Danio rerio: one gene and its partners. The protein of the gene in region 2 purifies or fractionates together with the protein of the main gene of each other region. This does not show direct contact. Links are inferred from orthologs where the notes say so. Each region holds a gene or a part of one and is shown on either strand. Other genes may lie near its edges.

Evidence for each region.
Region 1: the proteins of smndc1 (region 2) and sf3a1 purify together in Homo sapiens (affinity purification with mass spectrometry; 3 studies listed by BioGRID and IntAct, with this or other methods). This does not show direct contact. The link is inferred for Danio rerio from reciprocal best matches to the Homo sapiens genes SMNDC1 and SF3A1.
Region 3: the proteins of smndc1 (region 2) and sf3b2 purify together in Homo sapiens (affinity purification with mass spectrometry; 3 studies listed by BioGRID and IntAct, with this or other methods). This does not show direct contact. The link is inferred for Danio rerio from reciprocal best matches to the Homo sapiens genes SMNDC1 and SF3B2.

The regions. Positions count from the first base shown.
Region 1 is NC_133183.1:43,421,936-43,426,800, reverse strand, and holds the start of sf3a1 (splicing factor 3A subunit 1), read right to left. Parts: upstream 2,958-4,865; 5' UTR 2,940-2,957; exon of another isoform or gene 2,936-2,939; intron 2,816-2,935; 5' UTR 2,773-2,815; coding exon 2,725-2,772; intron 1,343-2,724; coding exon 1,233-1,342; intron 1,141-1,232; coding exon 948-1,140; intron 787-947; coding exon 529-786; intron 1-528. UniProt on the Homo sapiens protein: Component of the 17S U2 SnRNP complex of the spliceosome, a large ribonucleoprotein complex that removes introns from transcribed pre-mRNAs.
Region 2 is NC_133192.1:21,547,463-21,552,399, reverse strand, and holds the start of smndc1 (survival of motor neuron-related-splicing factor 30), read right to left. Parts: upstream 2,955-4,937; 5' UTR 2,780-2,954; intron 2,296-2,779; coding exon 2,176-2,295; exon of another isoform or gene 1,808-2,175; intron 1-1,807. UniProt on the Homo sapiens protein: Involved in spliceosome assembly.
Region 3 is NC_133182.1:6,504,797-6,509,739, reverse strand, and holds the start of sf3b2 (splicing factor 3B subunit 2), read right to left. Parts: upstream 2,958-4,943; 5' UTR 2,891-2,957; coding exon 2,791-2,890; intron 2,358-2,790; coding exon 2,314-2,357; intron 2,231-2,313; coding exon 2,174-2,230; intron 1-2,173. UniProt on the Homo sapiens protein: Component of the 17S U2 SnRNP complex of the spliceosome, a large ribonucleoprotein complex that removes introns from transcribed pre-mRNAs.

The sequences.
Region 1 (4,865 bases), on a different chromosome or scaffold from region 2:
AGTAAATCCCAAACATCATTTAGCAAAGCTACATTTGTCATGCACATATTGTCAGAAAAGCACAGCATGATCAGCAATAAATCTCCTCTAAATGCCAGAGGCTGCTCTTACAGAAACTAAAAGAAATCCAAAGAGTATTGTGTTAAAAAGGAAACTTTAACTGCTTTCGCTAATTCAGACTAATTAATAAAGACACAACTACAGATTCATCAAGTGTTGCAAGTTTTGTGTAGCTTTATAGTGAATTATGTGTGGCAAATGCTGCTCCAGCTGAATGTAGCTTACTTTACTTTTATTGCTTTATTGACAAAATGTGCATGGAAATCACCAATTTTTTCCCCAGCCCTAATGTATCTTCTAAATGCTTTCACAAATGGAATAATTGTTTTAATAATTTTTTTGCTAATTTATTGAGCTTGCATTTTTTTAAACATTAATCAAAAATATTATTAGAGGAAAAAATACTGAACATCTCTAATCTCTTTGCAAACCAATAAGCCCTCAGCATTTCTAAAAAGTATAATTTACCTTTGTATACTGCTCCACTAGTTTTGTGAAGTAGTTGAACAGACTGTGCTGTGGCCGGAGAAAGTCAAACTGGTAGTTCCTCTGTTCCTTCTGCATCAGCTGTGTGAGAAACTGACGGCCATTACGGGCAACAAACTGTGCGGTCAGTTTCACCACATCCAGGTCAAAGGCTGAGATGGAGGGAGGGTCAGCAATGAACTCAAACTCAGGTGGAGGCTCTTTTGGCACCACCGTCTCATGGATCACCTGTGCTTGGACCTAAATAATCACAAAACATAAGCTCTTTATAACATAGAAAGCTATTAAAATTTTTTATATCTGTCTGCTGGATTATGGCTTGATTTTAACTATTATAAAACTATCTGTCTACATCTATAATATTGATAATATTTATATAAAGCCACAGAGAAGTTGCTGACCTTCTGAGGAAGCTGCTGAGGATGCTGCATGACTTTAGGAACGGCTGCGGATGGTTCCTGAGCTTTGCCCTCCTTGAACTCATTGACCTTGTGTCGGTAGTAGGCATGGTATGGGTCGCTCGGGTTGAGGAAGTTGAACTTTGGGTTGTTGATCTCATTCTGTCGAATTCTGGCCTCAAACTCGGGTCCATTCCTTTGACAAAATAAATGGAATTAATTATTGATTTAATAAAAGTACACAAATGAAATACTGCACTACATGATATATGTGGTAGGATGTCAAACCTGGCTACGAAGCTGGCAGTCTTGTCAACGATGTTTCGCACTTCAGGAGGAGGGTAGATGATTCCCACTATGGGCTTTGTGGCTGGAGTTTCTTCTTTCGGTTCTTCGGGCTGTTGATTAAAACATCTCATAGCTTATTTAATATGAGCAAAATAATACAGAAAACACAAACAAAAATCACAGAATACAGTCATAAATATGGAATTAATTATACAATGTCATTAAATGTTACAAGCTTTGAATTAATACATTAAAACTAATCATGTCCTTAAAATGAAGTTGTGATGTGTACTATTGTGTGAGAATTTTAAGACCACTAAAATATAAGTTAAATACAAAGTCTATATTTATGAGGCGTGTTTCTGAATGAATGCCACAGTTTCATTTACTACACAAATATTGAAGCATGGGTGATGCTTGTGGTGTCAATCTCAGAAACTTTACCATGTTATGTGAGAATACCATATCAGATAAACAGAAAAAAATCAAGCGAATTGGATTTACTGCAGCCAAAAGTGTTTCTATTGTACAACAGAATACACTTCTCACTGTAAATGGTCCTTAAAATTATTACTTTTTATTATAATTGCACAACTGTCCTTTCTCATTTCACAACATCAATAAAACAGAATCTGATAATAAACTGAAATTTATATTACAAACTAATTAGTTTTTACAATAAATATCAATAAATTTACATTCAATTCAAACACCCCTAATTTTTAAATATTATTTGTATATAGAATTTGCATATTCATTTTTAATTTAAGAATCAAAACAATATATGTATATTTATAAACTAACAAGTAATTTGTGTATTTATATTTTTTTCATTATAAAGAAAAATAAGAATAATTATTCAATTAACATCTGAAGAATATTTTGATGACATTAGAAAAACATTTAAAGATCACATTGCAGCCCCCAAAATAAGCAAATGAAATATTTCAAATTTAACTATCTATTATCCAAATTTTTACTTAAAGAAAAAACAATAAAATGCAGAAGGATCATTTACTTATTTTAATAAGTACATGTAAGTTTACTTTTGTTGTTGTTGTCATTTTTTACAAAAGTATATATATTTTTAGATCTTAATTTTTATTAACCTTTTTTTCTAAACAATAAAGTAGACACTACTACGTTATCTTTTAAAATGGTTGTCTTTGACCACATCGATTTTGGGAAATAAAACAGTACATTTACATAATATATATTTTTATATTATATTATATTTATACTAATAATAAAACAACATTATGCTGGGAATATATACAACAATGACTGCTACAAAAGATAACAAAACAGATAACATATACATTAAAGTTTAACTTTAAACAAGTAATGCTTCTACTCAAAACAATAAATTATAAAATTGCAATAATGCCCAGTATTATACTTATGAAAGACGAAAAATGTAAGCAGATGAATATAAATCGGATAAACCTACCCATCGTGTCTATGAAAGTAATAAATTCTGAAAGCTTCATACCTTGTTATTCAGCTCCGGCTGCATGATCTGCACAGGCCCAGGCGGCATGACTGCGACACTACTGGCTCTTCTCGGACCGATTCAAACGTTACTGTGTAAAATGAAAGATTATTTGAAGCTAAAGACTCAACCGTTATAAAATAATGAACACTGAAAGTCGCAAGAATGGCTAAAGTTATACAAATTATGAAGGCAGTTTTACATAACTCACTTACCTCTCGTTAGCCAGCAGCCACACACACAACACAAAACGGACAACCAATGAAATTCTTCTTCTTCTTATGGGGTTAATGGCGGTTGGCAGACCAACTTAAATGGTGCATTTCCGCCACCTACTGGATAGGAGTGTGGAGCGCATAATGTTGGAAAAAGCATGAGTACTAAAGATATATGATACGAATGGAGGGATGAGATTACCATAGGGAAGAGAGAACAGTAATAACAGTAGGAGGAGAGGAGAGAAAGAAAGAAAAAAAATACTAGTTAAAAATCATAGTAAATTTTATTTCCTTATTTTGCTAAGCTATTCTTAAATTCTATTAATCAATTTTGTTTCCTTTAAGTAATTAATTAATTGCATTATTATTTCAACTTGATTTGAACTGTTTCCTAATAGGGTCTGAAATGACAAATTTTTAATCCCATAAATACTTAATCCTTGAACTAACTGATATCTCTGATTGTCATATGCCACACATTCTGTAATTACATGTTCTAATGTTTCTATTTTCCCGCATTTATCACAACATCCTGTCTCGTGCTTCCCTATTCTGAACTTATACTGGTTTAGCAAACAATGACCAGCACGCAACCTAGTTATTACCACATCATTCCTTCTATTACTAAACTTATTTCTAGTACCACCCACACATCCTTGAATATTATGCATATGTCTGCCTTTTTCTCCATTATCCCACTCCCTTTGCCACATTCTACCTGTTTCTTTTGCAATTATGTTTTTTACCTCTGACTTACTTATTTTTATTTTTATTTCTATCTGAGTATGTTGTAATGCTTCCTTTGCAAGTTGGTCTGCCTCTTCATTACCTACTACTCCCATATGACCAGGAATCCACAAGAAGCTTACAAAAAGTCCACCCTGTCTGATTCTGAATAAATTTTGCATTATCTCATTCATTATGTCCTGTCTTGCCTTAGATGTTCCAGTAATTAAGTTGTTTAGTACTGACAGAGAATCGGAGCATATTACTGATCTTAATGGTTTCACGTCTTCTATCCACTGAAGAGCAAGAAGTATAGCTACAATTTCTGTAGTGTACACAGAAAGTCGGTCCGTTATTCTTTTTGATATTTTAATATTGAATTTTGGGATGTAAACTACTACTGCCGTTTTTTCATCTTTAGGATCTTTTGACCCATCTGTATATATCTGTAAATAATTGAAATATGACTGATTTATGTATTGTTGTATTTCTTTTTCATTTAACATATTATTTTTGTGTTTTTCCTCATGTAGTAATAAATCGACTACTGGTTTATGGAAAAGCCAAGGCGGAATCGCAGAGGTTGGCACAGCAGGGGCTAAATTGATGTCTCTTATGCCCATATTTTGAGCCTCGTCTTTTACTGTCCAACCAAAACTATCTATCTTTTTATGTCCATATTCCCAACATTCCTTTAGTACTGTTTTTACTGGGTGCCTCTCTTCTTGGCTTTTAATGCTAACCCAATATCTCATTTTTAACTTAATTCTTCTAATTTTTAGAGGCATTTCCCCCATCTCTACTTGTAATGCTATAATGGGTGTAGTTCTTAGTGCTCCACAGCATATTCTTAGTGCCTGAGATTGAATCGCATCTATTTTCAACAACTGAGTTTTAGCTGCGGAACTATATACTACGCATCCATAATCTATAGTAGATCTTACCAGTGCATTATAGATTCTTTTAAGCGAGAAACGACATGCACCCCATTCAGCTCCTGCCAGACACCTCATTACATTAATTCCTTTTTTACATTTATCTATTATTTTTTGAATATGCATATTAAAATTCAGTTTTACATCCATCCACATTCCTAAATATCTAATTACTGATACCTGTTCTATTTTTTGTCTGTATATATTAATATTTATATTTGGATTAACTTTCTTTTTTGAAAAACAAATAACCTGAGTTTTA
Region 2 (4,937 bases):
GCATCTTTTATAACTGAGGCCGCTCTCTTCAAAAACCGAAAGTTGCTTCTTCTGTCTGGCAATATTTCGGCTTTTAATATATGAAAAGTTTATTTAGATGAGCCAATATTAAAAACTGCAATAAAGTAACTGAGACGTGCGGCCACACATCGAATCTGAGGACTGATTTCTCTCTCTCTCTCTCTCTCTCTCTCTCTCTCTCTCTCTCTCTCTCTCTCTCTCTCTTTCAGACATCGAGCCACAACACAAGTCAAGTTGCAAAACTTAGGCAGGTGCAGCTGACAGGTAGAATAGCTGAAGCCTTTACGAAATCTATCAAAATGCACCTCTGAAATTAATAGCCATAAATGTCTTTGAGCCAAAAAAAAGTCTATTGGTAGGATATCTGTAAAAACGCAATTGGAGCCAAATATATGAGTTGTGTAGCCTATAAATTATAGGCCTATTAATTCTAATAAAATGAAAACTAAAATTAACAATTCATTGCATTTTTCGTTTGATAAAAATATACGTAAACGAAAAAAAATCAAAGGGTGGCTAATTTGTATTAATGTGTTTTAATTTTAATGAAAATATGCTCAGCATATTTAATTAACGGCTATACGCCGTCAATAGGCAAGCCATTCAAAACATATAATTTTACCGTGTAATGGGTTATAATGTATATTTTACAATAAAAACTAAACGTAGCATGTCTCGCTGTCATTTAAAACGTTTAATTCATACCACACCAGAGCTGTGGACCTGTAGTGTTTAAACTTACAGGGCGGTTGGTCAATAGTCTTAATGCGCACTGAACTCCAATCCGAGGGACTCGATAGTTACTCGATAGACAACATTAACTTGAGAGAATTAAAAAATAAAAGGGTTTTTTTTTTAAAGGAACAACGCGCAAATCTGCAACAAAAAAAATAAATAAAAATAAAACGTCTTGGCAGTGCTGTGTGTATTCCGCCACTGACAGTGTGAGACGCCCTTATGCTGCGCCTGTAACTGCCGCTTGTAAGAGAGATCAAAGCTGTATCGATAAAACCAAAAAGCAAGATCATTTAGTTATAAATATTCCATAACAATACTTATCGAAATATTTATACATTTACATGTTGTTTATTGAGATTGTGTGATCTGTATAGGTTGTCTGATCTTTCCAAAAGCTGTAAACTGACACATGTGCGGTGATGTTTAGCTCTGACGAGGCGCTTTTATTTAGCCTGCCCTTTGATTTTTTACATAATGTTCCAATTCTTAATTTTTTTTCATATAGTTTAAATATAAAATGAGTGCTCGCTTGTTTAGTTGTGATCATTACGCAAGGATCATATTTCATATTCGGTTTATTCTTCAATAGCCTATAGATTCGTTAATAATGTATTTTATAAACGGATTGTTCATAAGGACTAAGCTGTTAATATATAACATAGGCGTTTATGGTTGTTATTTGTGTGGTTCCAACTTACACAGTTTTTTTCAGCCTGTAGCAGTGTTGTGTTTTATTCGTTATGTAAATAAAAGTTATGTTTTGTTTAATAACAGGAATTTTTTTTGTAGTTTCCTTTCTGTCCATTCAATTGACACCGAATTGGCAACTCCCACAAAACTGAAAGTGAAAGTATTATACGCACGCATTTATAAGCTATTTAAAAGCAGAAAAAAAGAGGAAATGAAAAAATGCCCACTCCCACGGTGATACCGGTATTACCGGTGTTGTCACATGTCGATTAACCGGTGGGGAAATTTCCTCACCGTCACAACCCTACCCGCAGCCACAGTACGCCGGAAATCCGGCGTGGTGCCGGAACGCTATCACCCCTGGCTGCAGTTTATTTTGTATTTTTAAAGGTATATTTTATTTATTTTAAAAGTAACTTCACAGTAAAGTAATTAGTAATCAGATTACATTTTACATTAAGTTTTAAGTAATGTTATTACGTTACAATTTTCGAGTAGTAATGAGTAATTTGTAATCTATTCCTTTTTTAAAGTAACTTACCCAACACTGATAGCTAATATGATTTCACCGATTAAAATTTGCAAAGCATACTTTTATAAAATTGTTTTATTAAGGAGAAACTCTAAATGTGCAAATATAAAACCAACAATACCATAATAATACAACTCACATTTCCCTTCGACTTTAGTAAAGGCTCACAAATAGGGAATAATTGTGCCCCAAACCTGGAGGTCCTTCTGTAGTTTAAGCAGATCTTCATTATCTGGATCTATAGAAAGCGCCGCTTCCACTTGCTGCAGCTGAGCTTTATAATTGCTCAGTTGCTTCATCAACTCCTCAGACATCTGAAAAATCAAACACTTATTAACGTTATATGACAAGTGAAACAGGCCTCAAAACATCCACCTTATCTCATCATACTTATAAATAATTGTTTCAAAACTCATAACCTGCTGTTCAACATCGTTATTATCCAAATCCTACCAAAATAGTTTTACAAGTACACTCCTGTTTGTTTATAGATATGTTAATAAGTCATGTACTACAATTGACTAACGTTACTTATTCGCTTGAGATGTCGTAAGGAACCCGTTATAATCTTTACACGTTAAAGGGGACATATTTGATTATTTATTTGTTAAATACTAATCTCGTATTACAATTGTTAACCCATTCATTGAATATCAGAAAGCGTTTGTTTTTTGTTTCAAGTTATATGCACATCAGCGATTAATGTATAAAGCGAGCGAAAGGCCTCGCGCTCGGCAGAAGCCATGTTTATATGATTATAAACAGGAATACAGGATCATTCTGTAGCATAAGGCTTACCTTTAAATATTCCGAGTATACTATTTATATATAAAAAACAGATGATTTTATGTATTTAACTGTCCATGTACTACTGTATTTTCGTGAAAAGAAATGCCGCTGTTGTTGTTACGTTTGGATCTCCTCTCGTTCTCGTCGCCTCGACCTTTCCCGGATGTGACGCCACACTCTCGCTTGAACAAAGTGATGTCGCGATGTTACCAAAGCAGTAATGGCTCTGCAGTAACACTGTTTTTTTTGTGCATTACCGTCGATCTTTTGCACCAAGTGGAGCAAAGGTATATACTAACAACAACGATAATAATAACAGTAGTATTAAACAGACAGCTGGTTAATTAAATTGGATTATTAGTTTTTCTCAGTGACTTTGGTGCATGTCTCGCACTACTCACATTCGCACAACAGTTAATGCATTTCTCAAAACAGTTTGTCGTTTGTGCACATCATAGTAGCAGTTTCTCATTCCTTCCAATAAATTGCAAATGCTTTTATACATGCATCAATTGCTTATTTGCTTGCATACAACTCTGCTGTTTTATAACATTTTCATTTGCTTTCATGACAGTCAAAATTACCTAAACTTGTGAATGCTGAATAGTCATTCCATATAAAACTAATAGTCCTCAAATCATTACTTGAGTCATTACATACAAAAATGTTGAACTAGTTGTCAAAATCTGTCAAGCTAATATTATAAAAGATTTTTAAAAATTTCCTGAAAATGTCTTCTAAATTGAACAATTTCATGAATGATTTACAAACCTGTGTATGTCACCAAAATCTGACTTTTTTTGCATTGGAAATAATGTACAGAGTAAACTGTCATAATGGAAACATGACAAAGCCATTTGACTATCTTGTTCATAAACAAAGGAGTCAGAACTTTTCATCTTGATGATACTGACACTTTGATTGGCATCATACTTTGCTTTTAAGGAATGAGCTATCCATTTTGAGCAAGTGACGTGCTTTTGCATGTTATCAGCTAGGTTTTGCAGTTTGTACTAATTGTTTTAAGAAATGCATTAACTGTTGTGCAAATGTAAATAGTGTTGTGAGAAATGCAACAAAACCACTGAGAAAAACTAATCTGTGGTCGCCACAACGAAATGAACCAACAAATTATCCAGCATTTGTTTTACGCAGTAGATGCCCTTGCAGCTGCAACCCATCACTGGGAAACATCCATACACACTCATTCACACACATACACTATGAACAATTTAGCGCACACAATTCATCTATACTGCATGTCTTTAATTTTTTATTGAACATAGTAATGTATAACAACTTGGCATCATCAGTACAGATTTACATTACAAATAAGGAACAAATAATATGTTACATAAAATAATTATAAGGAAAATAATACATAACTAAATGTAAAAATGGGGCTAGGAGTTTCCCTGTAATTCATACGTTTCTATCAAAGACAGAAGATTAAATGCACTTTTTGTTTCCTATATTTTAATGGGTTTTATATATGAAAGAATCCCATTATAAAAAGCACAAAACATTGGTTTCACCTTCAAATATTTAGCTTTTAATACTTTCAAATATATTCCAACCATATTGTTGTTGATTAGAAAGGCATCTTTCCTAATGTCTATTACAAGTCAATAAATGATGTCATTCACATTAAAGATCCTGAGGAGTAGAATCTTTGGGTAAAGCCAGTCATGATCACCCACAAACATAGGGACCCGTATTATGCGTTCTGCATTCGCGCCAGAGTTCATATTCGACCCACGTAGGATGAAATGATTGGTCTCGCGACTGGCCAATCAGAGCGCAGCATTAGTCTGTAAACAAAAGATTTCGTCAGTGTTTTCCAGGAGCGCGATATTGTCTCTAATGTTTTTCAGCACCTACAGCCTTTGGTCTATTGCCTTCTCTTTAGAAACAAACAAATAACATTTAGTAAACACTACATTCAGAAGAGTGAACAATATTTAAAGGAACAACAATGTCAGCGCAAAAAGTTATTCCTAAGGAAGAAAGTCTGCACGGTAAGTTATGCAACTTGGCTCGATTAGATAATGTGCCAGCATCAAAAGCTAACGAAATCAACAGGGCTGTTAAAAGCTGCAGTGACTTGTTTATTCGTATTCCTGGGTTTTACACAAATCATGTTTTCTGTTATAAATCTCAACAATGC
Region 3 (4,943 bases), on a different chromosome or scaffold from region 2:
TATTAGATTACCAAGACATTAGAGATAGTTCACATTCCTGTCATTTACTCACCCTTGACTTGTTCCAAAATAAGTTGAGCACAAAAGAAGATAGTTTGAAAAATGTTGAAAACATGAGCAACTCCAGCGTTATGGATGTGACATTTGCAGTAACAGCTCAAAACATAAATTCACAGAGAAAGTAAATGTTAACATCATGTTGAAACATCTGTTTATATTTTACGAAACAACTAGCCACAGAGTTGTGAGAGCAGAAATATATCAATCTGTGAACATGCTTTGTACTTTAAATGAGGGAAATAAACAAGCGTTATGGATGTGACCAAAAAAAGTCTGCGAGTTTACAGTCTACAACAGGGATGAGCTAACTTGATCCTCGAGGGCCGGTGTCCCTGCAGAGTTTTGCTCCAACACTAGTCAAACACACCTGAACAAACTAATCAGGCCCCGTTTACACTAGTGCGTTTTAGTTTGAAAACGCATAAGTTTTGCTACGGTTACGCCATCCGTCCACACTACGCCGGAGTTCTCGAGCGCCGAAAACGGAGCTTTTTGAAAACGCTGGAGAGGCCGTTTTCATTCTGAAACGCTGCTGCTCCGTCTCAGTGTGGATGGGGAAAGACGGAGACATCTGAAAACGGAGGCGGGGCTGCAAACGTTCACCTATCTGATTGGGGCTTTTCCTCAATATTAAGTAGCCCACACATAGTTCAGTCTCGCATCCTCTTCTTGTAAGTTAAGACTTCGCAAGTTTGATCAAGGCTGCAGTCTCCCCCTTCTCAGTTTGATATGGAAAACATACAGAGGACACGGGTAAATCTTCAAAGGGAACAGTGTACTTTATAACTTCATTCACATCACCCTGGCTACGTTGTTTCACTTTATCAACAATAAAATGTAAACATGATTTAAGGAACTGCCTATTTTCATTTTAATATTAGCAACTTAACAGACAGCAGAAATGTTGAGGCGCCGTGCTGCATATATGAGCGTCATCTTCACTGTGTGGATATTTATAACAAAACAGAGCCGATAACAACTGCCTCCTTTCAATTTCAGTGAAAATACGAAACGCACCCTCTCTTTTGCTGAATATCAGTTTTAATAATCGATAATTATAAAAGTATAACATACAATAAGTTTATACATTGTAGGAAATAAAGGCAAGCGATCAGTCAATGTACCTGGATTAATCATTAACTTATCTTTGCGCTTAACCAAAACATGTTCCCCGTGAACAAGTAACTTAACAGTTTCCAATGACCAAAGTCAGGGAATTGGCCTATGTCGTTAGATAAAGACAACAAGATGAATGAAATATCACATTTAGCAAATATAGTGAGATTAGATCCAGCGGGAGATGCTTGATGAGCAGTCCGACAAGCAGAGCTCTCATCTGGGTAGAAATGCTGGAGCGCTTGCCCGAGTGTGTGTGTGTGGTCACGTGATGTGCGTTTTCAGGGTTTTGGTGTGGACGGAGAGCTGTTCAGAAACGCTGGGTAAAACGCGAGTGTGGACGCGGATCGTTTTCATTCTACAACGCCGTTTTAAAACTAAAACGCACTAGTGTAAACGGGGCCTCAGTGTCTTCAAGATCACTTGAACTCTATAGGGAAGTCTGTTTGAATAGGGTTGGAGCTAAACTGTGCAGGACACCGGCCCTCCAGGATCAAGTTTGCCCACACCTGGTCTACAACATACTTTGCAGAAATTCTGTGAATCAAACTGCCCAACCCAAAAGAAACAATCCTAATAAAAAGGATAGGAGTTGCTCTCTAAAGAACACATGATTGATTGTATTTAGTTTTACATGTTTTTGCATTTTTGAGGAAAAAGCTTCGCTATGTATGTGACAAATGTAAAATTGGCACTTGTGTCACTTGTCATTACACCAAAAATGTAGAAACAGTTTGGCTATTTTGGTTGAAGCGTAGTTTTATCATGGCAAGGTTCACATTTGCATGGAGTTACTCATGTAATTATTGACTTCCATAGTTGGACAACAATGGAAATCAATGGTTACAGGTTTACACAATTCTTCAAAACGTCTTCTTCAGCGTTCAACTGAACAAAAACAAACAGGGTTTGATCAAGTAAAGGGTGAGAAAGTGACAGAATTTACATGTTTGTGGTGAACTATACTGCTAAGAGAATAAGAGAAAGGACACAGTACCGTGGTCAAGCTCTTGTCTTCTCCTGGTATGTTTGGTTTATTAAAGATCATGCCAGGCTGAAAACGTAATAAAGATTATGTTAGGACAAAAAAAATGTAAATAACGTTGTATCTGTAATTAAAACCCTTAACTAATTTACCTGTGCATAAGATTTCAGTCTGTCTATGAGCTCCTCTCTTGGACCTGGATAACAGAAAACCACAGGTAACTTAAATGATGATGATAATAAACAGTGAATTAGACATTTTACACGATTTATTATGCAGCTAAAGTATTGGTGTGTATAAAAATGTGTGTATAAAAAGTTCTGCACTTAAATCCCATTGCATTTCCCGTTCAGACAAAAACATTCACTCGGTTCAACCGGGGACGACTTATCATACACTTTACTTATATCACATACACGACTTAATGCATTACTAGCAGCAAAATCAAGAGCAAAACCAGCTTTCCAACACACATTTCAATGAACAACATGTGTAAGCGCGTCGTTTGGTGCACTGAGGCCCGGGCACCGGACAGGAAAATAACAGGCTAACAGGCTAACGCTAGCTAACAAATGAAAAACTCAGCGATACTGTCCCGCAGCGATGTAATGAAAGAGTTGTTAACTTACCCATATTGGGAGCACCAAATTCGGCCAATTTGGCCTGCAGCTCGCCATGGGTCCATGTATTAAAATCTATATTTGGATCCTGCGGCCCTTCGTTAGCCATGTTGAAGATGAACGGCACAAACGCGTTCAGGCGCAAGGGATCACGGGAACACAACGCAAAGCATCGTGGGATTTGTCGTTCCTGTTCGTTGAGTTTTTAAACTTTAAAACTGCGACGATAATTTTTTTGGCTGTATATATTTTTGTGGGTGTATATGTGGGTGTTTCCTAGTACTGGGTATCCGCTGTGTAAAACATATGCTGGATAAGTTGGTGGTTCATTCCACTGTGGCAACCCCTGACGAATAAAGGAACTAAGCTGAAAAAAATGAATGAATGAAAAATCCATATCATACATATTCCTTGTGTATTTATGAAGTCGCGTCTCTTATTTTCAGCGTTTTTTGTTAGATTCATTGGAAATAAAAACTAAATAGATTTTATAAAGCAAAGTATAAACTAAATGTAGCCTAGATGTAATCTTTTTTATACATTTAGTAATGATGCAGAATTTTTTTTTCTATTTAAAAGAATAGTTCACACAAAAATGAAAGTTCTCCCACCTGCCTTATCGCTGAAGTCATATGAACAGAAGTGTATAAGCCTGTGTCTATTGCATGCGAAGCGCCTGATTCCAGCCATTTACTGGAAAATTATTCATGCTCCATCTTTGTCACTCTGGATGAAGGAAATGTCTTCTTGTACACACACAGGCCCGTGCAGAGACCATCCAAAGGTCAGCGCGCGTACTCAAGATCAGTGTTGTCGTGCGCCTACTGAAGGGCGGGACGGAGGGTGTGTCGCGTCGAGGGGGCACTTTTGATCATTTTGGAAGGGCACTTTTTATCCAAGACTAAAAAGGGCAAAAAAGGGCACTAAAAAGGTTGAGCCCTATGTGTGCACTGCCTGATAACACAGTGGAGTTCAGTGCTGAACACACTAGTCAAGCAGAATCTGTCTTTGACTTGATTTGCTCACCAAAGTCTCAAATTTACACCATTTGATTGAAACATTTAATCAGTAGCTTTTAACAATAAAACAAACAAACAAATGTTTACATTAAATTTGAATTGACTATCTCGAAACCACCCTTATCATTCCCCCTCTCTTCTCAGATGGGATGGCGGGCCATTTCAAAAGTTATCATGGACCAACTTTGGCCCACGGGCCCTATTGGGCATCTCTGCTCTAACTACCTCATCATTCTCGCTTCTTTCTTACCATGCATGCGCCAACTTTGGCCCACTGTCGATAGTTTGGGCATCTCTGGTTTATTTTATGCTGCGTCTGCCATGTTTAGCCACAAGATGGTGGTCTTTCTAACGCCAACACCTCAAATCCTGTGAAAATTGTTGAGAAAAGGTTTTAATATACTTTTTATGGCGCCGGAACATGATATAATATAATATAATATAATATAATATAATATAATATAATATAATATAATATAATATAATATAATATAATATAATATAATTTAATATAATATAATATAATATAATATAATGGTATGTTAAAATAGTTATATTATATTATATTATATTATATTATATTATATTATATTATATTATATTACTTTATATTAATAATATTATATTGATTATATTATATTGATTATATTATATTATATTATATTATATTATATTATATTATATTATATTATATTATATTATATTATATTATATTATATTATATTATATTATATCACATTATATTAATTATATTATATTGATTATATTATATTAAATTATAATTTATTATATTATATTATATTATATTATATTATATTATATTATATTTTATCATATTATATTAATTATATTATATTGATTATATTATATTATATTATATTATATTATATTATATTATATTATATTATATTATATTATATTATATTATATTATATTATATTATATTATTTTATATTAATAATATTATATTATATTATATTATATTATATTATATTATATTATATTATATTATATTATATTATATTATATTATATTACTTTATATTAATAATATTCCATTGATTATATTATATTGATTATATTATATTAAATTATATTTTATTATATTATAGAAATTATAGAAATTATATTATATTATATTATA